Saccharomyces cerevisiae S288C: one gene and its partners. Changing the gene in region 1 together with any one later gene gives a genetic interaction. Each region holds a gene or a part of one and is shown in the gene's direction. Other genes may lie near its edges.

Evidence for each region.
Region 2: mutations in PMA1 (region 1) and PER33 together harm fitness more than expected from each alone (negative genetic interaction), as found in Saccharomyces cerevisiae (2 studies listed by BioGRID).
Region 3: mutations in PMA1 (region 1) and VPH2 together harm fitness more than expected from each alone (negative genetic interaction), as found in Saccharomyces cerevisiae (2 studies listed by BioGRID).
Region 4: mutations in PMA1 (region 1) and KEX2 together harm fitness more than expected from each alone (negative genetic interaction), as found in Saccharomyces cerevisiae (3 studies listed by BioGRID).

What each region holds. Positions count from the first base shown.
Region 1 is NC_001139.9:479,410-488,107, reverse strand, and holds PMA1 (H(+)-exporting P2-type ATPase PMA1), read left to right. Parts: upstream 1-5,441; coding exon 5,442-8,198; downstream 8,199-8,698. Other genes in the region: calcium-transporting ATPase PMC1, read right to left, coding at 1-2,187; YGL006W-A (uncharacterized protein), read right to left, coding at 2,575-2,685; BRP1 (Brp1p), read right to left, coding at 4,471-4,848; YGL007C-A (uncharacterized protein), read left to right, coding at 5,081-5,167. UniProt on the Saccharomyces cerevisiae protein: The plasma membrane ATPase of plants and fungi is a hydrogen ion pump. The proton gradient it generates drives the active transport of nutrients by H(+)-symport. The resulting external acidification and/or internal alkinization may mediate growth responses.
Region 2 is NC_001144.5:260,123-266,981, forward strand, and holds PER33 (Per33p), read left to right. Parts: upstream 1-5,333; coding exon 5,334-6,155; downstream 6,156-6,859. Other genes in the region: REX2 (Rex2p), read right to left, coding at 1-425; FRS1 (phenylalanine--tRNA ligase subunit beta), read left to right, coding at 857-2,644; 60S ribosomal protein eL22 RPL22A, read left to right, coding at 3,072-3,083, 3,473-3,826; BMT6 (25S rRNA (uracil2843-N3)-methyltransferase), read left to right, coding at 4,035-5,132; SND2 (Snd2p), read right to left, coding at 6,251-6,796.
Region 3 is NC_001143.9:216,199-223,150, reverse strand, and holds VPH2 (Vph2p), read left to right. Parts: upstream 1-3,933; coding exon 3,934-4,581; downstream 4,582-6,952. Other genes in the region: serine/threonine protein kinase PRR1, read left to right, coding at 251-1,807; Hsp90 cochaperone SBA1, read right to left, coding at 2,177-2,827; OAC1 (Oac1p), read right to left, coding at 4,833-5,807; DGR2 (Dgr2p), read right to left, coding at 6,451-6,952. UniProt on the Saccharomyces cerevisiae protein: Required for vacuolar ATPase assembly.
Region 4 is NC_001146.8:197,041-205,792, forward strand, and holds KEX2 (kexin KEX2), read left to right. Parts: upstream 1-5,387; coding exon 5,388-7,832; downstream 7,833-8,752. Other genes in the region: ZWF1 (glucose-6-phosphate dehydrogenase), read right to left, coding at 1-903; iron-sulfur cluster assembly protein NAR1, read right to left, coding at 1,462-2,937; LAP3 (bleomycin hydrolase), read left to right, coding at 3,529-4,893; YTP1 (Ytp1p), read left to right, coding at 8,148-8,752.

The sequences.
Region 1 (8,698 bases):
AATTAAGCCCTTTTGACTGTTAAATAGCAAGTCAAGAGCAGCTATATTTGGTGAGTCTTTATCACGCAGCTGTTCAGGGGGCCAGCTATCACATTCGCAGAAATCTTTGTGGGCAACACTTATGGCTCTGAGAGCATCGGACGCAAGATTTTTGATTTCATCATCAGTTTCTTTTTTATTGTCCTCATTGATTTCTTCCAAAGTATCATCTGAATTCCTCTTGTACGAACAATTCTTGGAAACAATTTCTGCTGCACCTTTAATGAAAAACCTGTAAAATGGTTTTTTATTTTTGCCTTCTTTGTACTTTACCACTAAGCCGGCCCATTTACGAGAACTTTCAAACGGAATTGTTTGAACAACTTTTTCGATATTAAACTTTTCCATCGGTTGATCTCTCAAATATTGCAATTCTCCCGGTTGTAATCCTAATGATAATCTTGCCAAACTGAGTAAGGCTGTTTCCGTTTTAGAGCCAATAAAGGGTTCTTGCCTACCCTTGTTGACATTTTTGAATAATTGATCCTCGTCATCTTCCCTGTTGCCTTTTTTAAAAAACGATAATCTAGATTTACACTTATCTAAAAAACTCAAATTTTTTGACATATTTTTACTACCATTTGTATTTTTATCGTTTTTCTTATAATCTCTGTTTTCGAAGGCGGTAGAATTCAGGACAATATTGGCTAATAAATCATTTCTCAAGGATGACGAACAATTTTCTTCAAAAACTTTCTTAGAATTCAGCTTCCTTTGTTCGCTAACGGGCAACGATTTACTATCATCAAATTTAGAATTGCCCGGGAAGCCACGAACGACAGTCATGACATTTTCTGTCAAAGTGCCAGTCTTATCAGAGCACACTGCAGTAGCAGATCCCATCGTTTCACAGCTTCTTAAAACCCGTACTAAATTACCGTCTTTTGTCATTCTTGTTGTTGCAAACGCTAAGGCCAAAGTTACAGCTAATGGTAAACCTTCCGGAACAGCCACCACAATAACCGTGATAGATGTGATAAAAATGTTCATAAATTTAGAACCCTTTTGAGCGGGATCTAGATCATGGAACCTGCCATCCTCAGGTATTATGTAAAATAAGTACCTAGTGAAAAGGACCAAGAAAAGAATTATAGCAGACACGCAACCGTAAACGGATATATTATCAGCCAATTGGCTCAAATGTAACTGTAATGGAGTACTTTCAGGTTCGGCATTTAATGAAGTCATGGTTTGACCGTAAACTGAGTTTATACCCACGGACGTGATGACACCCCTGCCCAAGCCAGAGAGAATTCTGGAACCTGAAATCAACATACAATCAGCAATCTTGTTACCGTCTTCGTTAACGTCACCTATATCTAATGGTTTGCTATGGTTATGACTATCGATAGAATTAAATTTTTTGAAATCTCTTAATGAGTTATCCACCGGAAATTTCTGTATTGTGTTAGATTCACCAGTGATGGATGATTCATCTGCCTCACACTTCCCTGATATCATAACACAATCAGCGGGGACAACATCACCGGTTTGTAATGAAATGACATCACCGACTAAAACGTGGTGAATGGAAATTAATATTTCCTGATCATTTCTTATGACTATAATTTTACGGTTTTCCTTCTTTTTATTTAGCTTTGCAAATTGCAACTCCTTCTGGTAATCGTTAGCGGCACTCACTAGAACTACCACAAAGACCGCAATCATGATAGCAACCCCTTCAATCCAGTCAACTTGCTTAATTTTATTTCCTTCAGGATCATACTGTGGAGGTTGCATCCATAGTTCGTATAGACCTAAAACAAAGGAAACAACAGCGGCGACTGTCAGTAATTGCATTGTTTTGTCATTAAAAGCAGCCCATACTAATTGTAAAAAAGACTTTGGTATTCTTTCAGGAAGTGAATTATCGCCATAATTTTTATACCGGTTTGTCTTTCGATAATTTGATATTTCTGGAAGAGAAATGCCTGCATTTTTATCTGTTTTCAAGTATTTGAAGAGGCTGTTAGACTCATATCCAAATAATCTGACAAATGATCTTATTGATTTAGGGTTATGAAGATCCGAAAGTTGACTTTTTGATAATTTGAAATTATCGTAGACTCCGTTCTCATTTCCCGTATACGATGGTTTGTTATTTTCATTATTCGCTAGTAAAGCAGAATTTTCGTCTTGTCTAGACATTATTTTTTTTGTTACGCACACAGTTTTTTTTTTTTTAGAACCACTTTTCTAAACTTTATTTGTTCAAGTTTTATTTCTTTAATTCAATGTCGTATATATGTGATACAATTCTCTTAATACACTTAGTTTTTACTGGAGGCGCATGAGTTTTTTGACGTTTTCTTAAGCCTTTCTATTGAATGAAAATTACCAGAAAAGCCCCTTCTTCCTCAAATTTATGAAAAAATGTTTATTCTTAACCTAAGCCTTCTCAATTGAATCGTGCCAACCTGACTAAAATGTAGTTTGGGGAAGTGAAAAAATCTGAAGAGATTATTTAATTTTTCGTTAAGCCTGCAATTTATTTTGGTAATAATTGCTAGAAAGAAATCGAATATTTAACGCAATTCAAATAAAGCCTTTCCTTGGGGGGGGGCTGATACTATTTGAATGTTTTTGGAAGGCGCCCATTAAATGCAATGCCAAGTGGCGATGATAATGAATTATGAAGATTAGCATTTGTTTAAAAAGCGTGGAGGGCGCTTCTAGGGCCTGAGCCTCCTAATTTTCTTTTCCCCCTGACAAATGATGGAGAAGCTTCTTTGCCGGGTAAAAACCCTTTTTTTTTATCTTTTCTGCGGGCGGATAAAGCTGTTAGTGCCACATGTTTCTATACAAACTGTATTAAAGTAAAAAAATTAATAGACAATTTAGGCCCCTCAAATGGGTAAAATAGAACATATATCAGTATGCACAGCTCACTATTTTAAAAGCGGCAGGCTTGGAGCTGTAGGACCACACTACTGCGACAAAAAAAGATAAAGTTGTGTTTTATTTATGTTTTGCCGTAAGATCGATACTTTTCTTATTCTCATCAAGAAAACACAAACTGCCAAGAACTAAGAAAAGAAGAGCCGTAAACAATGCTTGTAAACCGAAGTATGAAAAGAAAAACTTGATAATTAAATCATCCCCTTTGGCTCAAATATTTATTTTGTATTATTCATGCTTGATTAGTTTAAGAGTGAACTTTACTATCTTAATTTTATTTTAGCCTTTTCAGCTTATGGCACAATAGTGAAAACAAGATCATGTTAAGTTCTGTACCAGAAGAGAGAACCGATAAATAGTTTAATAAGCAGATCAATGCCAAGAATAAGATAAAACAACTATGGAGACTGATGTAAATATACTTGAAGCCGGGCAATAATATAAGCACCGTGAGCCGATTCTCCTCGATCCTACACTGCACCATATAACGAATGGTCTTGGACTATGGAAGGCAGTAACCAACAACAGAAAAGAGAGATTAATTAGAAAAAGACATTTCTCGAGAGAAAAAAAGTAAAGACCTTATCGTACAACTGTTACTGACATTTTTATTTTAAGAAGCTAAACCCTTATTATTAGCGCGCCCAAGTAGGCGCAAAACTAGAGAAGTCGCAGATGCATCCACCCACTTTTTGCCTTATTTTTCCTTAATTTCAGAAATATAGTTAAAATGAAAAACAAGGACAAGAAAAGAACGGGAAAAAGAAAAGGGGGATTAGCAAACAAAGAAAAGTCCAATAAAATGATTACAGACAGCATTGGATGCGATGAGATGGCAACCAGCGAGATGAGAGCATAGGATTTTCATCCTAGCTGCTTTAGGGAAGACGCACAAAACTTTGTTATGTTTGTAGTAAATATAGAAAAGAAAACAAAAAAGTGCTCGGACGAATCCGGTAGAGCTGTGTCTAGCCTCAATAAGTTTGCCGCATTTGGTAAATCAAAACTGTTTTTCTCTCCGTCATTTGTTTTGAAGCTTGTTCTGTTAGTTTAGGGAAATAGAAAAAAAAAAAAAGGGAAAAAGAAAGAAATCATATGCCCAATGGAGTACGAGAATTGGGGAAAAAGCCTCCATCGGGTTTTTAAACGGGCGTATACATGCTTACCACACTCCCGTAAGCAAGAACAAAGAATTTATCTTGATAAACTGCGTAATAAGTCAATCAATTGCTCTATATACGCGCATATACGTAAAACACAGAATCACATTTTAGTCAGGCCCAAGCCGTATAGGGCGAAAAAGCCCGCGCTTATCAAGTCATCGTAACGAATCAGATCTTTCCAACTGCTATCGCATACGTAAGAGAATTGAAATATTTCTCGGGTACGATACGACATTTTTTCTTTACATTTCTTTACTAAACCCGACGGCACGGGAAAGAAGATGAGACTCGGAACGGAAGCTAGAAGAAAAAGGAAGGACACAGAGATTTTCCGAGATTAACTCAGCTTTGCTAAAGTGCAAAAAGTCGTTTACGTCACCATCGCTGACGGGGAAAAAACAAAACAAGCTTCCTGAAACGGAGAAACATAAACAGGCATTGCTGGGATCACCCATACATCACTCTGTTTTGCCTGACCTTTTCCGGTAATTTGAAAACAAACCCGGTCTCGAAGCGGAGATCCGGCGATAATTACCGCAGAAATAAACCCATACACGAGACGTAGAACCAGCCGCACATGGCCGGAGAAACTCCTGCGAGAATTTCGTAAACTCGCGCGCATTGCATCTGTATTTCCTAATGCGGCACTTCCAGGCCTCGAGACCTCTGACATGCTTTTGACAGGAATAGACATTTTCAGAATGTTATCCATATGCCTTTCGGGTTTTTTTCCTTCCTTTTCCATCATGAAAAATCTCTCGAGACCGTTTATCCATTGCTTTTTTGTTGTCTTTTTCCCTCGTTCACAGAAAGTCTGAAGAAGCTATAGTAGAACTATGAGCTTTTTTTGTTTCTGTTTTCCTTTTTTTTTTTTTTACCTCTGTGGAAATTGTTACTCTCACACTCTTTAGTTCGTTTGTTTGTTTTGTTTATTCCAATTATGACCGGTGACGAAACGTGGTCGATGGTGGGTACCGCTTATGCTCCCCTCCATTAGTTTCGATTATATAAAAAGGCCAAATATTGTATTATTTTCAAATGTCCTATCATTATCGTCTAACATCTAATTTCTCTTAAATTTTTTCTCTTTCTTTCCTATAACACCAATAGTGAAAATCTTTTTTTCTTCTATATCTACAAAAACTTTTTTTTTCTATCAACCTCGTTGATAAATTTTTTCTTTAACAATCGTTAATAATTAATTAATTGGAAAATAACCATTTTTTCTCTCTTTTATACACACATTCAAAAGAAAGAAAAAAAATATACCCCAGCTAGTTAAAGAAAATCATTGAAAAGAATAAGAAGATAAGAAAGATTTAATTATCAAACAATATCAATATGACTGATACATCATCCTCTTCATCATCCTCTTCAGCATCTTCTGTTTCAGCTCATCAGCCAACTCAAGAAAAGCCTGCTAAGACTTACGATGACGCTGCATCTGAATCTTCTGACGATGACGATATCGATGCTTTAATCGAAGAACTACAATCTAATCACGGTGTCGACGACGAAGACAGTGATAACGATGGTCCAGTTGCCGCCGGTGAAGCTAGACCAGTTCCAGAAGAATATTTACAAACTGACCCATCTTACGGTTTAACTTCCGATGAAGTTTTGAAAAGAAGAAAGAAGTACGGTTTGAATCAAATGGCTGACGAAAAAGAATCTTTAGTCGTTAAGTTCGTTATGTTTTTCGTCGGTCCAATTCAATTCGTTATGGAAGCCGCTGCTATTTTGGCTGCCGGTTTGTCCGATTGGGTCGATTTCGGTGTTATCTGTGGTTTGTTAATGTTAAACGCTGGTGTTGGTTTCGTTCAAGAATTCCAAGCTGGTTCTATTGTCGATGAATTGAAAAAGACTTTGGCTAACACTGCTGTTGTTATCAGAGACGGTCAATTGGTTGAAATTCCAGCCAACGAAGTCGTCCCAGGTGATATTTTGCAATTGGAAGATGGTACTGTTATCCCAACTGATGGTCGTATTGTCACTGAAGACTGTTTCTTGCAAATCGATCAATCTGCTATTACTGGTGAATCTTTGGCTGTCGACAAACATTACGGTGACCAAACTTTCTCTTCTTCCACTGTTAAGAGAGGTGAAGGTTTCATGGTTGTTACCGCTACCGGTGACAACACTTTCGTTGGTAGAGCTGCTGCTTTGGTTAACAAAGCCGCTGGTGGTCAAGGTCATTTCACTGAAGTTTTGAACGGTATTGGTATTATCTTATTGGTTTTGGTCATTGCCACTTTGTTGTTGGTCTGGACTGCTTGTTTCTACAGAACCAACGGTATTGTTAGAATCTTGAGATACACTCTAGGTATTACTATTATTGGTGTCCCAGTCGGTTTGCCAGCTGTCGTTACCACCACTATGGCCGTCGGTGCTGCTTACTTGGCTAAGAAACAAGCCATTGTTCAAAAGTTGTCTGCTATTGAATCCTTGGCTGGTGTCGAAATCTTGTGTTCCGACAAAACCGGTACTTTGACCAAGAACAAGTTGTCCTTGCACGAACCATACACTGTTGAAGGTGTTTCTCCAGACGACTTGATGTTGACTGCTTGTTTGGCTGCTTCCAGAAAGAAGAAGGGTTTGGATGCTATTGATAAGGCTTTCTTGAAGTCTTTGAAGCAATATCCAAAGGCTAAGGACGCTTTGACCAAGTACAAGGTTTTGGAATTCCATCCATTTGACCCTGTCTCCAAGAAGGTTACTGCCGTTGTCGAATCTCCAGAAGGTGAAAGAATTGTTTGTGTTAAGGGTGCTCCATTATTCGTCTTGAAGACTGTCGAAGAAGATCACCCAATCCCAGAAGATGTCCATGAAAACTACGAAAACAAGGTTGCTGAATTGGCTTCTAGAGGGTTCCGTGCTTTAGGTGTTGCTAGAAAGAGAGGTGAAGGTCACTGGGAAATCTTGGGTGTTATGCCATGTATGGATCCACCAAGAGACGATACTGCTCAAACTGTTAGCGAAGCTAGACACTTGGGTCTAAGAGTTAAGATGTTAACTGGTGATGCTGTTGGTATTGCTAAGGAAACTTGTAGACAATTGGGTTTGGGTACCAACATTTACAACGCTGAAAGATTAGGTCTAGGTGGCGGTGGTGACATGCCAGGTTCTGAATTAGCTGATTTTGTTGAAAATGCCGATGGTTTCGCTGAAGTTTTCCCACAACATAAATACAGAGTTGTTGAAATCTTGCAAAACAGAGGTTACTTGGTTGCTATGACTGGTGATGGTGTTAACGATGCTCCATCTTTGAAGAAGGCTGATACTGGTATTGCTGTCGAAGGTGCTACTGATGCTGCCAGATCTGCTGCTGATATTGTTTTCTTGGCTCCTGGTCTATCTGCTATTATTGATGCTTTGAAGACCTCCAGACAAATTTTTCACAGAATGTACTCTTACGTTGTTTACCGTATTGCTTTGTCTCTACATTTGGAAATCTTCTTGGGTCTATGGATTGCTATTTTGGATAACTCTTTGGACATTGATTTGATTGTTTTCATCGCTATTTTCGCTGATGTTGCTACTTTGGCTATTGCTTACGATAATGCTCCTTACTCTCCAAAGCCCGTTAAATGGAACCTACCAAGATTATGGGGTATGTCTATTATTTTGGGCATAGTTTTAGCTATAGGTTCTTGGATTACCTTGACTACTATGTTCTTACCAAAGGGTGGTATTATCCAAAACTTCGGTGCTATGAACGGTATTATGTTCTTGCAAATTTCCTTGACTGAAAACTGGTTGATTTTCATTACCAGAGCTGCTGGTCCATTCTGGTCTTCTATCCCATCCTGGCAATTGGCTGGTGCCGTCTTCGCTGTCGACATCATCGCTACCATGTTTACCTTATTCGGTTGGTGGTCTGAAAACTGGACTGATATTGTTACTGTCGTCCGTGTCTGGATCTGGTCTATCGGTATCTTCTGTGTTTTGGGTGGTTTCTACTACGAAATGTCCACTTCTGAAGCCTTTGACAGATTGATGAACGGTAAGCCAATGAAGGAAAAGAAGTCTACCAGAAGTGTCGAAGACTTCATGGCTGCTATGCAAAGAGTCTCTACTCAACACGAAAAGGAAACCTAATCCTGTTGAAGTAGCATTTAATCATAATTTTTGTCACATTTTAATCAACTTGATTTTTCTGGTTTAATTTTTCTAATTTTAATTTTAATTTTTTTATCAATGGGAACTGATACACTAAAAAGAATTAGGAGCCAACAAGAATAAGCCGCTTATTTCCTACTAGAGTTTGCTTAAAATTTCATCTCGAATTGTCATTCTAATATTTTATCCACACACACACCTTAAAATTTTTAGATTAAATGGCATCAACTCTTAGCTTCACACACACACACACACCGAAGCTGGTTGTTTTATTTGATTTGATATAATTGGTTTCTCTGGATGGTACTTTTTCTTTCTTGGTTATTTCCTATTTTAAAATATGAAACGCACACAAGTCATAATTATTCTAATAGAGCACAATTCACAACACGCACATTTCAACTTTAATATTTTTTTAGAAACACTTTATTTAGTCTAATTCTTAATTTTTAATATATATAATGCACACACACTAATTT
Region 2 (6,859 bases), on another chromosome or scaffold:
TCATCTTCTACCTGGGCCAAAGTCTTCTCACTTGCCAAAACTTTGGCGGTGAGACCGCTATTACCGTGGTGCTCAATACACCACTCGTTCATTTTGTTCATCACCTCGGGACCATAATGGATGACGCTCTCATAATGCGAGTCTCCTTGGCCATCGGCCGCTTTGACGGGTGCCAGGTGTCCATCGGTGATGATGCAGCAAATCTCGATAATTCTGTCATTCACGTGGTCTAAACCGGTCATCTCGCAGTCGATCCAGACCAAGGGTTTGAACAGCTTGGTTTTAAGTTCGGGTGTTTGCGCCATTGATTGCAGGTTTTGGATGGTTCGAGGACGTAAGTACTGTGAAACGGATCTTCTGTACAGCGAGAAGAGGTTTGGGCGAGTGCGAGCTACGATTCTTGCCGGAAACAACAACCACTTCATCTTGATCTCTTCTGTTTATTTGTGAAAGCTCCTTTTCTTTTTTTTCATTTTCTTTGCAAATCGAAAAGTTCACACTGATTTTTTATTAGTTCTTTTAAGTGCCCAACTTGACAGGAAAAAGAAACACCCCAAAGGGAATACCAGTGTATGTAAGGCTTGAATTATACGTATGAGCATGCGTTTGATGGTTGTCGTCAGAGCCAGTGCTCTGAGAGTGTCCCAGATGACTACAACCCTTGTATAAAAGTACATCTTCTTGATTATTTATCACGACACACGAGGTGACCGATTATTCAGAATCGGTACCAAAAAAGAAAGAAAATTGAAGGAAATGAAAAATTTTCAATGTATTTCTCGAAAGCCTGGAGTTGATCAAATGTTCAAAAAATAGGGCAGAATAGCATAACACACATCAATAACACCGAGCCAGCATGCCTACCGTCTCCGTGAACAAGCAGCAATTATTTGATCTTCTAGGCAAAAACTACACTTCCCAAGAGTTCGATGAATTATGTTTTGAATTCGGTATGGAAATGGACGAAGACACCACAGAGGAGGCCTTGAAAACCGGGGAGGAGCCGGAATTGAAGCTTGATATCAGTGCCAATCGTTACGATTTGCTTTGTATCGAAGGTATTTCACAGTCGCTGAACGAATACTTGGAACGTAAAGAAAGACCTGACTATAAATTAAGCAAGCCAACCACTAAGTTGATCATCGACAAATCAACGGAGCAAATTAGACCTTTTGCTACCGCTGCTGTATTGAGAAATATCAAGCTTAACGAAAAATCTTACGCTTCTTTTATTGCCTTGCAAGATAAATTACATGCCAATCTATGTAGAAACAGAAGCTTGGTTGCCATGGGTACTCACGATTTAGATTCAATTGAAGGTCCATTCCATTACAGAGCTCTACCACCAAAGGACATCAAGTTCGTACCATTGAATCAAACCCAAGAGTTTACTGGTGACAAATTGATCGAGTTTTATAAATCTCCAGAACAGAAAAACAACATAGGGAGATACGTTCACATTATTGAGGATTCTCCAGTCTTCCCAGTTATTATGGACAGCAAAGATCGTGTTTGCTCCCTGCCACCATTAATCAATAGTGAACATTCGAAGATCTCTGTGAACACCCGTAACATTTTGATTGATATAACCGCCACCGATAAGACCAAAGCCGAGATCGTTTTGAACATATTAACTACAATGTTCTCACGTTATTGTGACGAACCATTCACGGTTGAGCCTGTAGAAATTGTCTCTGAACACAATGGCCAATCCCGTTTGGCGCCAAACTTCAACGATAGAATTATGGATGTCTCCATTAAGTACATCAACTCCTGTCTTGGCCTAGATCAATCCGCTGATGAAATTGCTCATTGTCTAAAGAAGATGTCGTTGCATGCCGTTCAATCAAAGGAAGACAAGGACATCTTGCACGTTGACATTCCGGTAACTAGACCTGATATTTTGCACGCTTGTGATATAATGGAAGATGCCGCTGTCGGTTATGGTTTCAATAATTTGCCAAAGGGTGAGAAATTATCCAATGCCAACTTCATTGCCAAACCATTACCAATCAACAAGGTTTCTGATATTTTCAGAGTTGCATCCTCTCAAGCCACGTGGGTTGAGGTTTTACCATTGACCTTATGTTCGCACGATGAAAACTTTAAATTTCTAAGACAATCCGACAATGGTGATTTAGCTGTCAAATTGGCCAACCCAAAGACTTTGGAATACCAAGTTGTTAGAACCACTTTATTGCCTGGTATCTTAAAGACAGTCAAGGAAAACAGAAAACATTCCTTGCCAATCAAAGTCTTTGAAACCGGTGACGTTGTATTTAAAGACGACAAACTAGAAAGGAAGGCGTACAATGAACGTCACTGGGCTGCCATCTACGTGGGTAAGAATTCTGGGTTTGAAATCATTCAAGGGTTATTGGGTAAAATCATGCAAACTTTTAGAACAGAGTGGATTGCAGACTACGGTGCTGCTGCTTCTGGCAGAGGTTACTGGATTGAAGAAGACGATTCTGTGAAAACCTACTTCCCAGGTAGAGGTGCCAAGGTCATGTTCAGATCCAAAGAAGGCGCTGAGCCAAAGCAAATCGGCCACTTGGGTGTCTTGCATCCTGAAGTCATGATGAATTTCGACGTTCCATTCGCTGCATCCTTTGTAGAGGTTAATGCCGAAGTCTTCCTATAATGTAATGTTCTAACAAAAATTTTTACTGATTTATAAAACTTATATAGATAGATAGACACATATATATATCTATATATAGAAACACAACTAAAGTTTACCATGTTTTATATAATATTACTACCGCTACTGAGTAAATGTTTAGCTTGTACTTAACTTTCAAAGACAGTTTTTTTGATAAACATCAGTACATTTAATAATACATCCATACATTTATGTTAATTTGTTTTTCCTTTCCACCTCAGTGCGCTTCTCTTTTGAAAAAATCCTCAACAGGCCACGCGAACAAATCTTACCGAGAATTTCCTAAAATGTTTCAAACTATCATTTAGCTGCATACAATATGTACATTATTAATTGAGATTAACAACTTTACCTGTACTTTACCGTTATCAAATTATAAACCACCAAAACAACAGATTAAGAAACAATGGCCCCAAACGTATGATACTTTAAAAGGAATCCACGCCCGATTACGAAGTCTATGTTTTACTGTTATTGTAATGATTGATTGTACGCGAATAACAAGGAAGATAGTAAAACCAAAAAAAAAAAAATAAAAATGTACGAAACGAAGAAGCGTCTATGTGTTTAGTTGCTTTTCTGTATTTTAAAAATTCACTACTTGAACATTGAACTCTATATCGACTCCCTTCTTTTTATCCGTTTCTGAATGTTTTTTTGTTTGAGATTGTCATATGTGATTGTTAATAGCAGTAGGCAACTTTGTGGTTTCGGGATTGAAAGAAAATCGTGAAATATTCGTTTTTTACTAACATTACTGTTCTGAAAATTTTTACTAATTTTCAATCTTTAATTTTTTTGATATAGACTTCCAGAAAGCAAAAGATTGCCAAGACCTTTACCGTCGATGTCTCTTCTCCAACTGAAAACGGTGTCTTCGACCCAGCTTCCTACGCTAAGTACTTGATCGACCACATCAAGGTCGAAGGTGCTGTCGGTAACTTGGGTAACGCTGTCACTGTCACTGAAGATGGTACCGTTGTTACTGTTGTTTCCACTGCCAAGTTCTCTGGTAAGTACTTGAAGTACTTGACAAAGAAGTACTTGAAGAAGAACCAATTGAGAGACTGGATCAGATTTGTCTCTACCAAGACCAACGAATACAGATTGGCCTTCTACCAAGTCACTCCAGAAGAAGACGAAGAAGAAGACGAAGAATAAATTCATTAATATTATTTTAAATAGAGCATAAGTTTTGTATAATTAAAATCTTCTAAACCTAATAAATATGTTTAATGAATGATTCAATATCAAAAAAAGAAATCCATTGGGCCCTTAGTGCATTTTTATTTTTTTTTTTTTTTTTTTTTTTTTTCTCTTTCTGAATTAGAGTACATCTCATCGCAGGGTCTCTTTTTGCACGTTTTTGATGTTGCTTATGAGACGCTTTGCCTTTTTAACTTCTTCAGTATATTTTAAATATATACCAATTTATTCACAATATCATTACTCTTCTCAGTTTCCAATTAACATGAATCCTAAAAAAGTGGCCCAATTGCCCGTTCACAATAAATCAACGCTTCCACCACAGGAAATAATCGATCTTTTTAAAATAACATTCTTAGAAGAGCTATATCCAAAAGATCAAGACAATGAAAAGTCACCGTTAACTGAACAAATACAGGCGGTAAAATCTGACCTTTATAACAGAGATTACAATGCTGCTTTCAATAACGACTCGAAAAGAATAGCATATTGTTGTCGTTGGTCACCGTCCAGAGCAACAAGTTACGCATCAGTATTTGCACATTTCCCTGAGCTTCTAAAGATTATCAGATGCGAAATTGATGACAAGGACTCAAATGTGCTCTGCATAGGTGGCGGCGCTGGTGGTGAGCTGGTTGCATTAGCGAGCATATTCACTTTATCGAGAGATTTTTCGTCTAAATTTGCCTCTGCTTTGAAAATAGACAACGAAGTAAACAAAAAGCCTAGAAATTTAAACATACAACTAGTAGATATCGCCGACTGGTCCACAGTTGTTGAAAAGCTAACAGCTACAATAAAGTCGAAATGGCTATATGGTGATTCAGAAGCAGAGTCATTTAACGTCAACTTTACCCACAAGGACTGCCTACAAATGACAGAGCCACAAGATATCAAGATATATCAAGGCCTCGACCTAATAACTCTACTTTTTACTACAAATGAACTATTTACACAGAAAAAAGTGGAGAGTATAAAATTTCTGCAACGGTTAAACGAGAACTGTGCCCCAGGCTGCCATCTTCTCATACTAGAGAGTGCAGGAAGCTATTCTCACATTACCATCAACAACAAGAAGTTCCCAATCCAATTTCTTATCGATACTATCTTAGTAGGCAATAGAAAGGACAAGGGAACGACAGGTCCATGGTCACTAGTATCCGAGAACGACAGTATTTGGTATAGAATGGACCCAAAACTCGACTACTCGATTCCATTGGAAAACATGCGATTCTTTTACCGTCTTTATGTCAAGAACTAACAGGCTTTATGACGTTTTACTGTTCTCTTTTCATTGTTCTTTTCTCGAAGAGTTTAGAAAAATTTTTTTTCTTCTCATCCACACCGAAAAAATATTAATAAGAGAGTTGAAAATTCGATTTGGAATCAGAAATAAAGAAGGGGCCACGATCAAACAAGACTCATTTCGAATAATTGTAAAAAAAAATTAGCACAAAACAATATGACCGTTCCCAGGAATCGTCCCATGGCACCATTTGGCACCATTATCAAATCAAGAATAAAACAACCCCAGTTTTATTGGTTTATAGGCCATTTTTTAACCATCTTTAACTTTATACAATTTCATCTTTCAATCACGTCCAAACAAAACCAATTGTCATGCTATAGAAGATCATTATTTTACATATCCGTTACATATGCCATCGTTCTTTACCAGTTTTTCAAAAGTGACCAGTTAAAGTTCAATTTTACGCTTTTGCGCCAAGAGATGAAGAAATTGGATAATTTGCAGTATTTTGCCATGCTATTCATACTTTTTCTCTTATCACAGTTTAACATCATAATCAGCGGCTCGTTATACAGTCCCGTTATCTTTTCAATCTTTCACTTCCTGAACTATTTTAAGGAAAACCTTTTGCCATTTTTGCCTTTGATACCACTTAATTTGAAAAATTTGTTGAACTCCAAAATAACGGTATTCATCCAAAACTACAATGGATTTTTCTTACAGATGGCGCAAGTATTTGAGATTATCTGCGGCCTACGTGTGGGCCTCTTCTTAGTGCCCTTCAATTTTTTCTTGTTGTTGGTAAGAAGAGCAAACGTGTCGTTTGAGGTAGTGGGTACAATGTTGGCAGGACTAACCTATGTATGGTTTTTCAAATTAAGGTACCTACAAAGTGAATCTATGAGGCAGATATTTAAACAATATGTCCTTAGGTTGGATGCATATGTCAGCCGTACTTTGCCCCCATATTGTTCCCGTTTATGGAACGGCTATAAGAATTTCGTTATGACAGTGTTTTGGAAGATACCTGTGTAGCATGCTCATTTTAAGTATATCTAAATATTATTTTGTATATACTCACACTCCTCTATAGAAAGCAAAAAATTTCAAAAACGTTTGAAAAGCTTTGTTTAACGATACTTGTACTTAATTTTAGAGTCAGTTTCACCCCTCCTCTCCCTTTTCATCTGCCTTTTGGATTTGGATTGTCCCTCATTAGCATTTTTTGAGCGATTATCTGCCTGAGTTTGTTGAGCGCCAGGCATGAACATGTTTTTGAGGCCATATAACTTGTAACCAGCATAGATGGGGCACAATAGTAGACACCACCAAAATTTGAATGTCCTGAAAGCTATAATACCAATGTTACCAAAAAGTGATAGATATATCAAATCAAAAAAATATGATATCAAATTTGTATTGTCGTTCAAGTCTATACCTTGTTTTACTACGCGATTGCCATCATATTTGGGCTTACCGGATAGCACAATGATATACAGAGCAACGAACATAGGAACGTTCAAAGCCACCAGCTTAATCCATTGGCCAATTGTAACCTTACGTGAAATGAATAGACGTACGATAGCCATTCCTAAAAACAAAGAGACTTGCTTGTATAAGCCCTGAATTATTTTTGCATTTGAACTAGCCTGTTTCCTCCCTGCTTTGCCAGCCATTCTACCAACACAAACTTAGACCACTGCCTTTGGTGTCTTCTTGAAGCCACACGTGAATACTAC
Region 3 (6,952 bases), on another chromosome or scaffold:
GGATTAGCAGACGAAAAGGGTAAAGTTAAATACATTCCAGTAAATGAACTAAGAAGGCTGAGCACACCATCCTCTTATGGAACGTTATTCCTAAGCATAGAAAGTTTTTTACTTGTAATCTTCAACGCGGGGTGTGTTCTTTATCTTTTTTTTCTTTTTTACACAATTAGACAAGTATATTTTGAGATAGTAATCACATCTACGCTTCGAATTCATCCATACCCACAGCAGCTGTTAGGTTATACCGACAATGGATGAATATAGTAGTATATATTCACAACCAAAGACTCCTCGGTTGAAACAAGAAGGATTTCCCGACTCCATTGGCGATCAACACGAAAAGGCATTGATTGATGAAAATGGTGAGGAAGATAAAAAAATGGCATCCACTGAAGGGACCACTGGTGATTCTCGCAGTACACCTTTGACTGTATCTATTCCGACGTTTGAAAATGTCCAAGCATTACCTACACCGATGACCTACACTCCGTTATCCCCAGGCAATCTGTCAATGTCACCTATAGATCAATCCTCGTTGAATATACCCAAAAGACGAAGTCATGCACGATTACTGGATGATATGCTTTCTGTTACACAACCAAACCAAAGAGTTGTTTCTGAACTTATTGCACCAGCTAATTTATCCCCCCAAAGGGTTGTTTCCTTACCAACAGTGACTGAAGAGGCTTTAGTAAATGATTCTGTTGATAGTGATAACTACACGAAAGAACCTTATTTTCCCGAAAGTAGTAGTTCTACCGAAAAGTGTGACGATGATATATTTCAGGGATTTCTTTTAGATCACTGGGATCGCCCGTTATTATGGAAAAAGGTCAGGCCCATTGGTTCAGGAAATTTTAGTACCGTACTTTTATATGAACTCATGGACCAAAGCAATCCTAAACTGAAACAAGTGGCCGTTAAACGACTCAAATATCCCGAGGAATTATCAAATGTTGAACAAATCAATACATCGTTACGATATAAGGAAACTTTATCCCGTTTGGAAAATTCTCTGACTAGGGAATTGCAGGTGCTAAAATCACTAAATCACCCATGTATAGTTAAACTACTTGGGATAAACAATCCAATTTTTGTTACTAGCAAAAAACCTTTATGCGATTTGATTATAAAAACTCCAAGAGCTCTGCCGCCTTGTGATATGATTATGTCTTATTGTCCTGCAGGAGACTTATTAGCTGCCGTCATGGCCCGTAACGGAAGACTAGAAGCGTGGCTGATTCAAAGGATTTTTACGGAAGTAGTACTGGCAGTAAAATATTTGCACGAAAACAGTATTATTCATCGGGACCTAAAATTAGAGAATATACTACTGAAATATAGTTTTGATGATATCAACAGTTTTAGGGACTCACCCATTTACTGCAAGCAAAATTTCATTGAGCTAGCAGATTTTGGTCTCTGCAAAAAAATTGAGAACAATGAGATGTGTACAGCAAGATGTGGATCAGAGGATTATGTCTCACCAGAAATCCTGATGGGAGTTCCCTACGATGGCCATTTAAGCGACACGTGGGCCTTAGGTGTCATACTATACAGCTTGTTTGAGGACAGATTACCATTTGACCCTCCTCCAAACGCTTCAGCAAGACAGCGTAGCAGAGCTACGTCACATCGTATTGCCAGGTTTGATTGGAGATGGTACCGGTTAAGCGATTATAAAACTAATGTGGGAAAACAGATTGTGGAAAATACGCTAACGAGGAAGAACCAACGTTGGTCGATTAATGAAATTTACGAATCCCCCTTCGTTAAAACGATCGCTGATACTCTAAGTTTTTCTTGAAATTTCCCACGGATGGGAGTTACTTTCGTTTTCTTTCTTATTGCTTACACCTGATAATCATCCAGCATATAGAAATTGTTCTTTAAATATCACATACAGTTCCATTACTTGACATTTGCAACATAATATTTCTGCTTTTTTCTCTATTTTGCATCCAATATAGCTTCTATCTGCTTACTACTGTCTTTTTGACAATGTACAATATATATCTAAGATAGTTACGAATAAAAATATTTTTATTAATTCCATAATATTTAATTACATAGAGGCAGCCAATAACAAACAGGTAAAGAGTTGTGTAAAGTGCATATATTCGTCTTTTATTCTAAGTTACTCATTCTAGCACTCCAGGTTGATTTGCTCCTCCTTTTAAGCTTTCACTTCCGGCTCTATTTCCTCTTCTTCATCTTCTTCATCGTTTTCTTTGAAATCTCCCATGTCCAAATTACCACCGCTTTGAGCCAATAATTGCTGCAATTGAGCCATATCTGGAGAACCAGCGCCACCAGCACCTCCCATCATTTGGCTGAAGTCCATGCCTCCAGCACCTCCAGCACCTCCAGCACCTCCCATCATTTGGCTGAAATCCATTCCTTGAGCGGCATCATTACCTTCAGCTTCAACTTCGTCTTGTTCATCTTCATCAACCCATTTATCGAAATCAGTTTTGATGTAAGGGTACTTCACCTTTTCCTTTGTCAAACGTGGCCAGTATTCAGATTCTAAATCCTTTTTATACAATTTCAAAAAGTAGTGCTGGCCATTAGCAACCTTATGCATTGTTTTTTCAGGTATAATTTCCTTGTATAGATCAATGTGTAATTGATAATGATGGACATTTTCATCGCCAACATGAGGCTTTGATTGAGCCTTTAATTCGATGTATGATGGCTTAATGGTTAACTCAGGGGCATCACAGTCTGCAATTGACACAGTTATTAAGACATAATTTCTTTCTGGATCAGTAGTACTAGACCTTTGAGCCCATGCAACTTGAGGGTTAATAACTTTATCGGACATGACTATTATGAATCGATGATCTTGGGAACTTGTTGTTGTAATGAATTGAGTCCACTAGGTTTCTCGAACAAGTTAATACATTGCCACCCATTTCGTCTTTTTATGCTTTTTTCCATGCTAATTCTTGCCGCTCCTCTCCGCCCCTTCAAAAACACTCGGAAGGCGGGTAGCATTAAAAGTCGAACAGTTTGTTGGTAACTTTTGTAGGTATATGTGTACCAATAACCACAAATTAAGTATTGATTATCACAGTCAACCTCTTTGTATATCAAAAATTATACTCTGTATTCATAAAAGGCAGTTATTTTAAAAGCAAGTAACGGCAGGAAAAAAATTATTAATAAGTATAAAAAGATTGGACGAGTCCGGAATCGAACCGGAGACCTCTCCCATGCTAAGGGAGCGCGCTACCGACTACGCCACACGCCCTATTTACTGTTAGTGTATTTCCACTTAGATTACTATAACAAGCTCTTTTAAACAATAAAACAGTTCTATAACAACCGATTTACGAAATTCTTCTGAGTAAATGAGGTCACAAATGAACTTTCTTTAACTTCCTCTTTGTCTCCATTCGTTTTTCCATGCTTTTTTTGTTTCTGTCGAAATGAAATCCTTGTATCATCTATTGGCTAGTATTCGTCTTCCTAGAATATTATCACAGCGGTGTAAGATGATGACATAGAGATTGGGAAACAGTTATCGGTCTTAATGGAAGCTGAAATGCAAGGATTGATAACGTGATAGGGTAATGAATGGCAAAGTATAGAAGAAAAGAAGTTAGAGTAATATTATCATGTAGAAAGACCGATTCCATTTTGAGGTTTCCTATACCCTCGAGGGGAACTTTTAGGATATTCTGTGTATCTCATACTATAGTCTTTAACTATGATTGAATCCGAACAATTATATTGTTCACGAAATACTCAGTTTTACAAAAATCTTGTGTATTTAACTGACTCAAAGTAGACATGACGGACGTGTGAATATTTAAAATGAGAAACGAGGAAGCGAAAATAAAGCAAATCTCACATGAAAACGCTGAAAGAAATGAAGAAAAGGTAAGATAGGATAATTGACGATTGGCATCACATAAAAGAACTCTAATGTTCGAAATTAAACTGAATGATAGAATAACTGAATTTCTGCGAAAGTTCAAGAATAGCGCGAAATCAAACGAAGGAATTGATGAGGACATTGATTTGTTCCTGAAGCGACACGCAATACCTATGCAGTCACTTCTTTTTTATGTGAAAGAGTATAGAAAAGACAGTGATCTCCAATGCTCTATCAAAGAACTTTTGAAACCTTTGGAGTTCGAATTCAAGCCCAAGGCCGTCAGAGGTTTACACTATTCAGAGGATTTCAAGAAAAAATTAGAGTTTTTGAAATATCAGGAACAAGAACTTGAATATCAAAGTATGGTCAAGAGAAGCAAGTCTGTCTTTTCACTTCAAGAAGACGATGAACTCACGCCTTCACAAATTAATAAACAGATTAAGGAACAAGTTACCACTGTTTTCAACGTTCTTGTAAGTGTCATATCGGTTGTTGTGGCCATTTGGTACTGGACCGGATCTTCAACAAACTTTCCGGTCCATGTTCGTCTTTTGTTGTGCTTGTTCTTTGGAATATTGGTCTTAGTAGCAGATGTGGTTGTGTATAACAGCTATCTGAAAAAACTCGAAGAAGCAAAAGTAAAAGAAAAAACAAAGGTTGAGAAAAAGAAAGTTCTAAGCAAGATTACACTGTAACTGATCATTTTATAAATAAGAACTCCGAGATCCGAGAGCATATAATTCTTGGAACTGGACAATTGTGAATAATGTTCTGTATGTTTATAATTACGTTTATAAAACTATCGTGTATGAATGTGAAATAAAAAATGCTCTATTATCCTTAATGCTACATAATATGAAGAAAAAGGTTGTAATGAAACCATTAGTAAAGTAGAACTGTCCTGGCCAATGAATGAAACTTCAAACCTCGGAGTTTGTTATGGGAATTAATTATGGCCTAAAACTCTCGACTCTATCGAATAAACTAGTTTCATTGTCTGTTCCATGAAGGTCAAACACATGATTGTATGAGGTGCGATTCTGAACACTTGAGCTGCAAAACCCTTATACAAAGCGGTTACACCTTCGATTCTAACAGTTTTGACCAAACAATCTATAGGTCCCTTGTACAAGTCACCTTTTTGATTATAGATTCTTGTCAAAATGACATCCCATGGGTTCATAACGACGGCAACACCTAACCCAGAGATAGTACTAGCAGTTAAATGTAATGCTGGGCCATCTTTCATCAGATCATTTTTGACCAAAATGTTCTTTGCTGTGTTGTAGATAGGTAGTTGAACAGAGGAACCAGCACCTGTCCTTAAAATTGCCGCATCAATACCTCTGAATAGACCCTTAACACCTTCGGTTTTAAAAATGGTTACTAACCCGTTCCAAACACCGGTGTAGTGCGTTTGTTCACCAATTTTTATAAACTCGGAATATGATTGAAGTCTTGTTTTCACCAAGAATAATGGAGAGCCAATGACTGCACCAATTATACCAGATGCGGCACCAGAAAAGACGTTAACTCCGACGCTCTGTACCTTATGTGGCTCTTGATCTGGGAAGAAAAGCTGATTTAATGATGATCTGATTGGCTCATAAAACCCTAATCTGGAACCATTTAGCCCAATTTGATAGATATAAGCAGCATTTAACCCTTTTTGCAGACCTTTTATACCTTCGTTTTTGAAAATTACCGCCATACCTTGGATTGGATTTTTATAAACTTTTGCAGCTGATGCTGACATTTCACCTTGAAGCTGCATTCTGATTTTAATCAATTCGATCGGATTAGTAACTGTAACAGCTATACATGCTGCTAGCCCACCAGCCACAAACGAACCAAACTTCGATATCTTCTGGGCGGCTGTTTTTTCAATTTGTTTATCTTGTTTAGAGTTGTCAGATGACATATTTGCTTACGATATAATTCGATGAGATGTGCTTGTGTCTGACTTGCTATAGCAATCTAAGGAAAACTATTTCGGATGGAGTTCTGGAGTGGGGGCATTATGGAAGAAGAAAGTATATCTTAATGTTGCATATAATCACATAGTTTATATATATGCAGTATTTATCATTTGACGACTTAGTCACAGCTTGAAATTTCAGCGGTGCTTAATGTTCGTTTTCTTTTTTTTTTTTTTTTCCGCAACAGAAGGCCGATTCCGCTGTAACTTAATGAGGTATTAAATGCCAGATTCGTTTTCGTGACCTCCTTTAGCATATCGGCAGACCCTGACTCGCAACTGGAATAACACCACATGCGAACAAAAGCATATTTTTGCCCTACTTAATTTGAGAGTGGAAAATCTTTCCTCGATTTCATTTTTCTTATAGCCCAATTGACGTCTCTGTAGGCCCTAATAGACCCCATCGGCCTAAGACCGTTTCCGGCATCTTTCGGGTTGTAGATGGTTCTGTGAGAAAATGTGTCAGTAATGAAAAATAATAAAGATCGCTACAGATATAAATAATAATACTATGTTATTTGCAGACATGCTTATGATCTAAAGACGGTGGAACAGATAGTTTTTCCTCTTACTTTCTGATTCTCTATCTGAAATTATTGAGGATTGTACCACAATCAGCACACGTGAAACCGCTATCACCGCCAGCAATGGGGTTTTTGGAAGCACATTCAAAATTAGATCCATTGCAGACGTCACATTTCAACTTCGGATAAGTGGTAGAAACTCTCGGAATATCATGCGGTCCAAACACCGTGGAGCTCGTACTTTCACTTCTTGACTTTAGGGATATAAAACTTCCATTGGATTTATTAAAGATCGAATTCTTGAAAATAGCACTAGCTCTTGATGGCATGCCGGAAATCACCGGGCTATTATTAGGATGCAGCTCACAAAAATCGTGGCTTGGCCTACTATTGTGCGTGTTAGATGGTGGGGTTGTGCTAAACTCATTATCCTCTGTGGAACTTCTTTCATCCATTCTATTTTCCAATATGCTGTCATTGTTGTGGTTGTTGATTTTACCAGCAGCTTCGAGGTGGAATAAATTGTATTCATGGAACTTTTCTATTATTTTTTTTCGTATT
Region 4 (8,752 bases), on another chromosome or scaffold:
AGACCCGTCCTCAGATTTACCGTACTGGCCCAAGAGGACGTCGTCCGTGTCGATGGGGGCCACGGCCTTTAGAACCTTAACCTTTTCGTCACGAATAGATTCCGGGTCAAAAGACACCGGTCTTTCCATAGTCAAGAGAGTCATGATTTGTAACAGATGGTTCTGCATCACGTCTCTGATTATGCCTATAGAGTCGAAATAGCCGCCACGGCCTTCGGTGCCGAACCTCTCTTTAAACGAAATCTGAACGCTTTGAATGTTGTCTCTATTCCACGAGGCATTCAAAAACTGGTTACCGAACCTCAAGACTAAAAGATTCTTGACCAACTCTTTACCCAAGTAATGGTCAATTCTGTACAACTCTTCTTCTTTAAAGAGGGGCCCCAGGTTTTTTTGCAGCTCCCTGGCAGAGGCCAGGTCGTGGCCGAAAGGTTTCTCTACGATTACACGGGTGATGCCATTCTCTGCGTACACACGACTCTTGATCTGCTTGGCCACCGTCAAAAAAACGCTTGGCGGCAAGGCCAGATAGAAGAGACGGTGTGGGACATCGACGTTGGCACTTTTCTCGAATTTCTCGATCTGCGTTCTTAATTCGTCGAAGCCTTCATCTGTGTCGTAATTTCCCGAAATGTAGCTGACCATCTTGAAGAACTGTTCGACCTTAGAGTCATCGGCTTCACCGTGAGGTTTTTTCAAGTGGGGTAGGACACGGGACTTCAGGTCCTCCTCCATGGACAATTTGGACCGGGCATAACCGAAGATCTTGGTAGATGGATCAAGGTAACCTTCTCTGAAAAGCCCAAATAAGGCGGGAAAAGTCTTCTTCTTTGCCAGATCACCTGACGCACCAAAGACAGATATGACGGTATTTTTTTCGAATTTGACGGGGCCTTCACTCATCTTGCCTTATGTGGTTTTCTATTCTATTGGATTTACTCTTTCTGTCTATACAGCCAATTGGAGAGGGGGAAGGGGGAGAAGGAGGGGTGAGTGGAGAAAAGGGAGAGAGGGGCAGGAGGAAGCCACTTTAGGTGTTATGTGTCGGTATATAGATGAACCCACAGTTTGCTTATATATGGGATAGCCTTGGCGAGTTTTCCGTACATTGAAGAATTCGCCACCCTTAGAAAAGGGGCCACCACACCTTGAGCCAAAAATCCCACATTAATAATATTCCATTTTTTTTTTAGTCATTTTTTTTTTTTTCGTCTCTCTTCCTCCTCCGGCCGAGCCGAAACCGGGCTTTTAGCACCGTTGGAAGCTTGTATCTCCGCGTAAGACCGCCGGAGTATGCATCTTATAGCGGTTTTTCCAGTTCTTTTCCACTATTACGTGGTGCTTCCAGTAGCGCTACTATTATTGTTGTTCTTGCTATTATTTAAATGTCACTATGTACTTGATACACACAGTTTGTGGTGATTTCACGCTTATGTACACGGGTGCAAAACTACACCTTACTTACCAGGTGCTCCCAACAGAGACGAGATCCTTTTCGACGGCCTGCTTGACGGGCGCGAAGACGTACTCTAGCGAAAGCGGGCGGGCTGCCGCCTCTTCTAGCTTGGGTCCCAGGGTTAGAGGATCTACCATTGCTAGCTCCTCTCCGTGACGCTTATTCAGTGTCTGAACCAACTGCTTCCGCTTGAGACTGTTTTGCTCGCCATTGAGTAGGCCACCACCGTTCATGCATGCACCCGGACACGCGTTTACCTCGATGTAGTCCGAGTGGTAGGGATCGGCCGTGGCGGCCGTGGCGGCCGCCATCTCGCGTGAGTTCGCCTTTGGACCTGTTCGTCTCTTCCGCAGAGCGGTGATGTTCCTCTTGCGCTCTGACCCGGAGCCCGAGGTCAGTTTACGCACCAGATTTTGGATGTTTCTAAACCCGGAAAGCTCGCTGGCGGCGGCTATTATGCGATCATCGTGCAGCAATCGGTACTCGACAATGTCGCTGTTTCTACCCTCCAGAACTATCATCTGACTTCCTGGGTGTAGTCGTTGGACAGCCGTTACGTACTGGTAGGCATAGCCACCACAAGTGCCTCCCAGATTCGACGCCCAGTGGACTCGCGGGTCCCATCCCGGCGGTGATAGCCGCCCATATAAACTTGTGTCCTCAGTAAGAAACGACTTGAAGTCTAAATTCAACTCTTGTAACATTGTCACTATTTCACGTGGCGTAATGACACAGTCAATCCCATCGTCAAGCGATTCTGGCCTTGACGCTTCTAGTTTCTTGTCAAAACATGGCATCAGCGACAGATGGTAAAAGGACTCACGCGCGATAGCGAGACTCTCGAACGTAGCTCTGATCAACGAGCCCGTAATTTGCTGAGGCGACTTGACATTGAGCAGCATAGGCACCAACTGCGGTTTGGTCTTTTCCGTGTATATAAGAAATCCCGGACACACAGCAGATAATAGAGGCTTGCGGTCCGCACCGGTATTTTCTTTTTGTTTCTTATGCGCAATGATCTTCTCTACGGTTTTGCTAATCGATATGATTCTGCCCATCTCCGTTCCAACCATATACTTGCACTGGAAATGCTTTTGGAAAAAATTCATCAAACACAAATCGGCCGCCTCCAATGTTAAGCCGTAGTACTGCGCAAGAGATAGTCTGCATTGTGGCGAGACACTCACAACGAGGAATTTGTCTTGCTGCTGCGAAAGCTTCCCCCAGTTTTTCAGGAAAACCGAGTGACTTTGGCTACTCAACAAGATTTCTTCACTAGACGTTATACAACCAGAACACGCGAGGCAGTCTGATAGGGTAATAGAGACCTTCTCCAGTTGGTCTGGTTCCGTGCTCACCTCGTATTCTCCGTTCATGTTAACGTTATCCTTCTTGCCCCCGCTCACCTGGGTAGGTTTGACGCACGCAAGGGCGGGACTGATAAAATCGTTTAGGTCAGACTCGGACAGTAGAGCACTCATGCTTTCTTGTACACTTATCTTGTCACTCAGGAAAAGGAAGCTCCCTCTCTTATCTTTCCAGCTGACAAGACAAGTTTCTTAGTCATCACCATAAAACGCTTTTATCATTTTTTTCTTCATGCGATGAGCAGGGAAAACTGGTAAAAAAAGAAAATAGGAAGTGGAAAAGAAAAAACTAGCGGAAAGGCAGGCAATATGCTTTACAAACAGGCAAATTTTGTCTCTTAATCCTGTGAAGAGGCATCGTATATTCAGTGCTTTTTGAAATTTAGAAAATAGTCGCTTTATTGATTATGCTACATATGTTATTTTGCTTTAGTATGTGTCAAATAGCATGCAATCGCCGGGTAGTGAGTGACACATCCTTTTTTCCCCTCCCACCAGAAAGTCACCTGCTCTCTTAATCAATGGGGTTGCATGTGGTAATCAATTGATAACGCCGGCTGACAAGTCGCCGACGGGCACCCATAAATAAACGATAAATAGCCCTTGCTCTTTTGTTACATGCTTCCTACTTCTGTTTCCCGGTCCTTGTATCTCAAGACGTTTAGAAGCCACCTTTTACGAGCACCACAAATTGTTTTAAAAAGAATGTCCTCTTCCATCGATATCAGTAAGATCAACTCTTGGAACAAAGAGTTTCAATCCGACTTAACCCATCAATTGGCAACCACTGTCCTTAAGAATTATAATGCCGATGATGCACTGTTGAACAAGACTAGACTGCAAAAGCAAGATAACAGGGTTTTCAACACTGTTGTCTCTACTGATTCCACTCCAGTCACCAACCAAAAAAGCTCTGGTAGATGTTGGTTGTTTGCCGCTACCAATCAACTGCGCTTGAATGTTCTTTCTGAATTGAACTTAAAAGAATTCGAACTGTCCCAAGCTTACTTGTTCTTTTACGATAAGTTGGAAAAGGCCAACTATTTCTTGGACCAAATCGTCTCCTCGGCTGATCAAGACATCGACTCACGTCTCGTGCAATACTTGTTAGCAGCTCCAACAGAAGACGGTGGCCAATACAGCATGTTTTTGAACCTAGTCAAGAAGTATGGCCTTATCCCCAAAGATTTATACGGGGATCTACCTTATTCTACTACTGCGTCCAGAAAATGGAATTCTCTGTTGACTACTAAACTGAGAGAATTTGCCGAGACTCTAAGAACAGCTTTGAAAGAGCGTTCTGCCGATGATTCCATAATTGTCACTCTGAGAGAGCAAATGCAAAGAGAAATCTTCAGGTTGATGTCGTTGTTCATGGACATACCTCCAGTGCAACCAAACGAGCAATTCACTTGGGAATACGTTGACAAAGACAAGAAAATCCACACTATCAAATCGACTCCGTTAGAATTTGCCTCCAAATACGCAAAATTGGACCCTTCCACGCCAGTCTCATTGATCAATGATCCAAGACACCCATATGGTAAATTAATTAAGATCGATCGTTTAGGAAACGTCCTTGGCGGAGATGCCGTGATTTACTTAAATGTTGACAATGAAACACTATCTAAATTGGTTGTTAAGAGATTACAAAATAACAAAGCTGTCTTTTTTGGATCTCACACTCCAAAGTTCATGGACAAGAAAACTGGTGTCATGGATATTGAATTGTGGAACTATCCTGCCATCGGCTATAATTTACCTCAGCAAAAGGCATCGCGTATTAGATACCATGAAAGTTTGATGACTCATGCTATGTTGATCACTGGCTGCCACGTCGATGAAACGTCTAAATTACCACTTCGCTACCGCGTTGAAAATTCCTGGGGTAAAGACTCCGGTAAAGACGGATTATACGTGATGACTCAAAAGTACTTCGAGGAGTACTGCTTTCAAATTGTGGTCGATATCAATGAATTGCCAAAAGAGCTGGCTTCAAAATTCACCTCAGGTAAGGAAGAGCCGATTGTCTTGCCCATCTGGGACCCAATGGGTGCTTTGGCCAAATAAATAGTTTCAGCAGCTCTGATGTAGATACACGTATCTCGACATGTTTTATTTTTACTATACATACATAAAAGAAATAAAAAATGATAACGTGTATATTATTATTCATATAATCAATGAGGGTCATTTTCTGAAACGCAAAAAACGGTAAATGGAAAAAAAATAAAGATAGAAAAAGAAAACAAACAAAGGAAAGGTTAGCATATTAAATAACTGAGCTGATACTTCAACAGCATCGCTGAAGAGAACAGTATTGAAACCGAAACATTTTCTAAAGGCAAACAAGGTACTCCATATTTGCTGGACGTGTTCTTTCTCTCGTTTCATATGCATAATTCTGTCATAAGCCTGTTCTTTTTCCTGGCTTAAACATCCCGTTTTGTAAAAGAGAAATCTATTCCACATATTTCATTCATTCGGCTACCATACTAAGGATAAACTAATCCCGTTGTTTTTTGGCCTCGTCACATAATTATAAACTACTAACCCATTATCAGATGAAAGTGAGGAAATATATTACTTTATGCTTTTGGTGGGCCTTTTCAACATCCGCTCTTGTATCATCACAACAAATTCCATTGAAGGACCATACGTCACGACAGTATTTTGCTGTAGAAAGCAATGAAACATTATCCCGCTTGGAGGAAATGCATCCAAATTGGAAATATGAACATGATGTTCGAGGGCTACCAAACCATTATGTTTTTTCAAAAGAGTTGCTAAAATTGGGCAAAAGATCATCATTAGAAGAGTTACAGGGGGATAACAACGACCACATATTATCTGTCCATGATTTATTCCCGCGTAACGACCTATTTAAGAGACTACCGGTGCCTGCTCCACCAATGGACTCAAGCTTGTTACCGGTAAAAGAAGCTGAGGATAAACTCAGCATAAATGATCCGCTTTTTGAGAGGCAGTGGCACTTGGTCAATCCAAGTTTTCCTGGCAGTGATATAAATGTTCTTGATCTGTGGTACAATAATATTACAGGCGCAGGGGTCGTGGCTGCCATTGTTGATGATGGCCTTGACTACGAAAATGAAGACTTGAAGGATAATTTTTGCGCTGAAGGTTCTTGGGATTTCAACGACAATACCAATTTACCTAAACCAAGATTATCTGATGACTACCATGGTACGAGATGTGCAGGTGAAATAGCTGCCAAAAAAGGTAACAATTTTTGCGGTGTCGGGGTAGGTTACAACGCTAAAATCTCAGGCATAAGAATCTTATCCGGTGATATCACTACGGAAGATGAAGCTGCGTCCTTGATTTATGGTCTAGACGTAAACGATATATATTCATGCTCATGGGGTCCCGCTGATGACGGAAGACATTTACAAGGCCCTAGTGACCTGGTGAAAAAGGCTTTAGTAAAAGGTGTTACTGAGGGAAGAGATTCCAAAGGAGCGATTTACGTTTTTGCCAGTGGAAATGGTGGAACTCGTGGTGATAATTGCAATTACGACGGCTATACTAATTCCATATATTCTATTACTATTGGGGCTATTGATCACAAAGATCTACATCCTCCTTATTCCGAAGGTTGTTCCGCCGTCATGGCAGTCACGTATTCTTCAGGTTCAGGCGAATATATTCATTCGAGTGATATCAACGGCAGATGCAGTAATAGCCACGGTGGAACGTCTGCGGCTGCTCCATTAGCTGCCGGTGTTTACACTTTGTTACTAGAAGCCAACCCAAACCTAACTTGGAGAGACGTACAGTATTTATCAATCTTGTCTGCGGTAGGGTTAGAAAAGAACGCTGACGGAGATTGGAGAGATAGCGCCATGGGGAAGAAATACTCTCATCGCTATGGCTTTGGTAAAATCGATGCCCATAAGTTAATTGAAATGTCCAAGACCTGGGAGAATGTTAACGCACAAACCTGGTTTTACCTGCCAACATTGTATGTTTCCCAGTCCACAAACTCCACGGAAGAGACATTAGAATCCGTCATAACCATATCAGAAAAAAGTCTTCAAGATGCTAACTTCAAGAGAATTGAGCACGTCACGGTAACTGTAGATATTGATACAGAAATTAGGGGAACTACGACTGTCGATTTAATATCACCAGCGGGGATAATTTCAAACCTTGGCGTTGTAAGACCAAGAGATGTTTCATCAGAGGGATTCAAAGACTGGACATTCATGTCTGTAGCACATTGGGGTGAGAACGGCGTAGGTGATTGGAAAATCAAGGTTAAGACAACAGAAAATGGACACAGGATTGACTTCCACAGTTGGAGGCTGAAGCTCTTTGGGGAATCCATTGATTCATCTAAAACAGAAACTTTCGTCTTTGGAAACGATAAAGAGGAGGTTGAACCAGCTGCTACAGAAAGTACCGTATCACAATATTCTGCCAGTTCAACTTCTATTTCCATCAGCGCTACTTCTACATCTTCTATCTCAATTGGTGTGGAAACGTCGGCCATTCCCCAAACGACTACTGCGAGTACCGATCCTGATTCTGATCCAAACACTCCTAAAAAACTTTCCTCTCCTAGGCAAGCCATGCATTATTTTTTAACAATATTTTTGATTGGCGCCACATTTTTGGTGTTATACTTCATGTTTTTTATGAAATCAAGGAGAAGGATCAGAAGGTCAAGAGCGGAAACGTATGAATTCGATATCATTGATACAGACTCTGAGTACGATTCTACTTTGGACAATGGAACTTCCGGAATTACTGAGCCCGAAGAGGTTGAGGACTTCGATTTTGATTTGTCCGATGAAGACCATCTTGCAAGTTTGTCTTCATCAGAAAACGGTGATGCTGAACATACAATTGATAGTGTACTAACAAACGAAAATCCATTTAGTGACCCTATAAAGCAAAAGTTCCCAAATGACGCCAACGCAGAATCTGCTTCCAATAAATTACAAGAATTACAGCCTGATGTTCCTCCATCTTCCGGACGATCGTGATTCGATATGTACAGAAAGCTTCAAATTACAAAATAGCATTTTTTTCTTATAGATTATAATACTCTCTCATACGTATACGTATATGTGTATATGATATATAAACAAACATTAATATCCTATTCCTTCCGTTTGAAATCCCTATGATGTACTTTGCATTGTTTGCACCCGCGAATAAAATGAAAACTCCGAACCGATATATCAAGCACATAAAAGGGGAGGGTCCAATTAATGCATATTTAAGACCACAGCTGAATAACTTTAAAACGGCAGACAAAACAAAAAATAGGTCGAATAAACCTTACCTGCCTAGAAGGAATGACAGCAGCTAATAAGAATATTGTCTTCGGATTTTCCAGATCCATTAGCGCAATTCTACTAATATGCTTTTTCTTTGAAAAAGTCTGCGGTGATATGGAGCATGATATGGGCATGGATGATACTTCGGGATACACGAGGCCAGAAATTGTGCAGGCTGGGTCGAAATCTTTCCACTGGCTCTGCACTTTGGGATTCTTGTTGCTTTTACCATCCGTGGTGACGTGCCTTTCGTTCGCTGGCAGGATATATTCAGCTACCCTCTTACAATGCACTTGTGCCGTTTACGCTTTCTTAGAAGCTGCCGTATTAAGATTTCAAGACAATGATGGGGTAGAAAATAGAACTTCAAGGGGAACCGCATGGTTTTTGGTGGGACTTACTTGGATAACCTTATTCTTTGGTGGATTAGCTGGAGGAACTGGTTTCTTAGTGAAAAGCAAGAGGTTGCAAACGTTCATATCAAATGCAGGTGAGAAAAGGTTGTCATATATCCATCGTGGTTTATCCTTTCTAACTGTTCTAACAGGTTGGGTTAAAGTCTGTTTGGCACCTGTTGCGCTCTTTGGGTTTTGTAGAGAGGCACACACAGGGCAATGCATCGC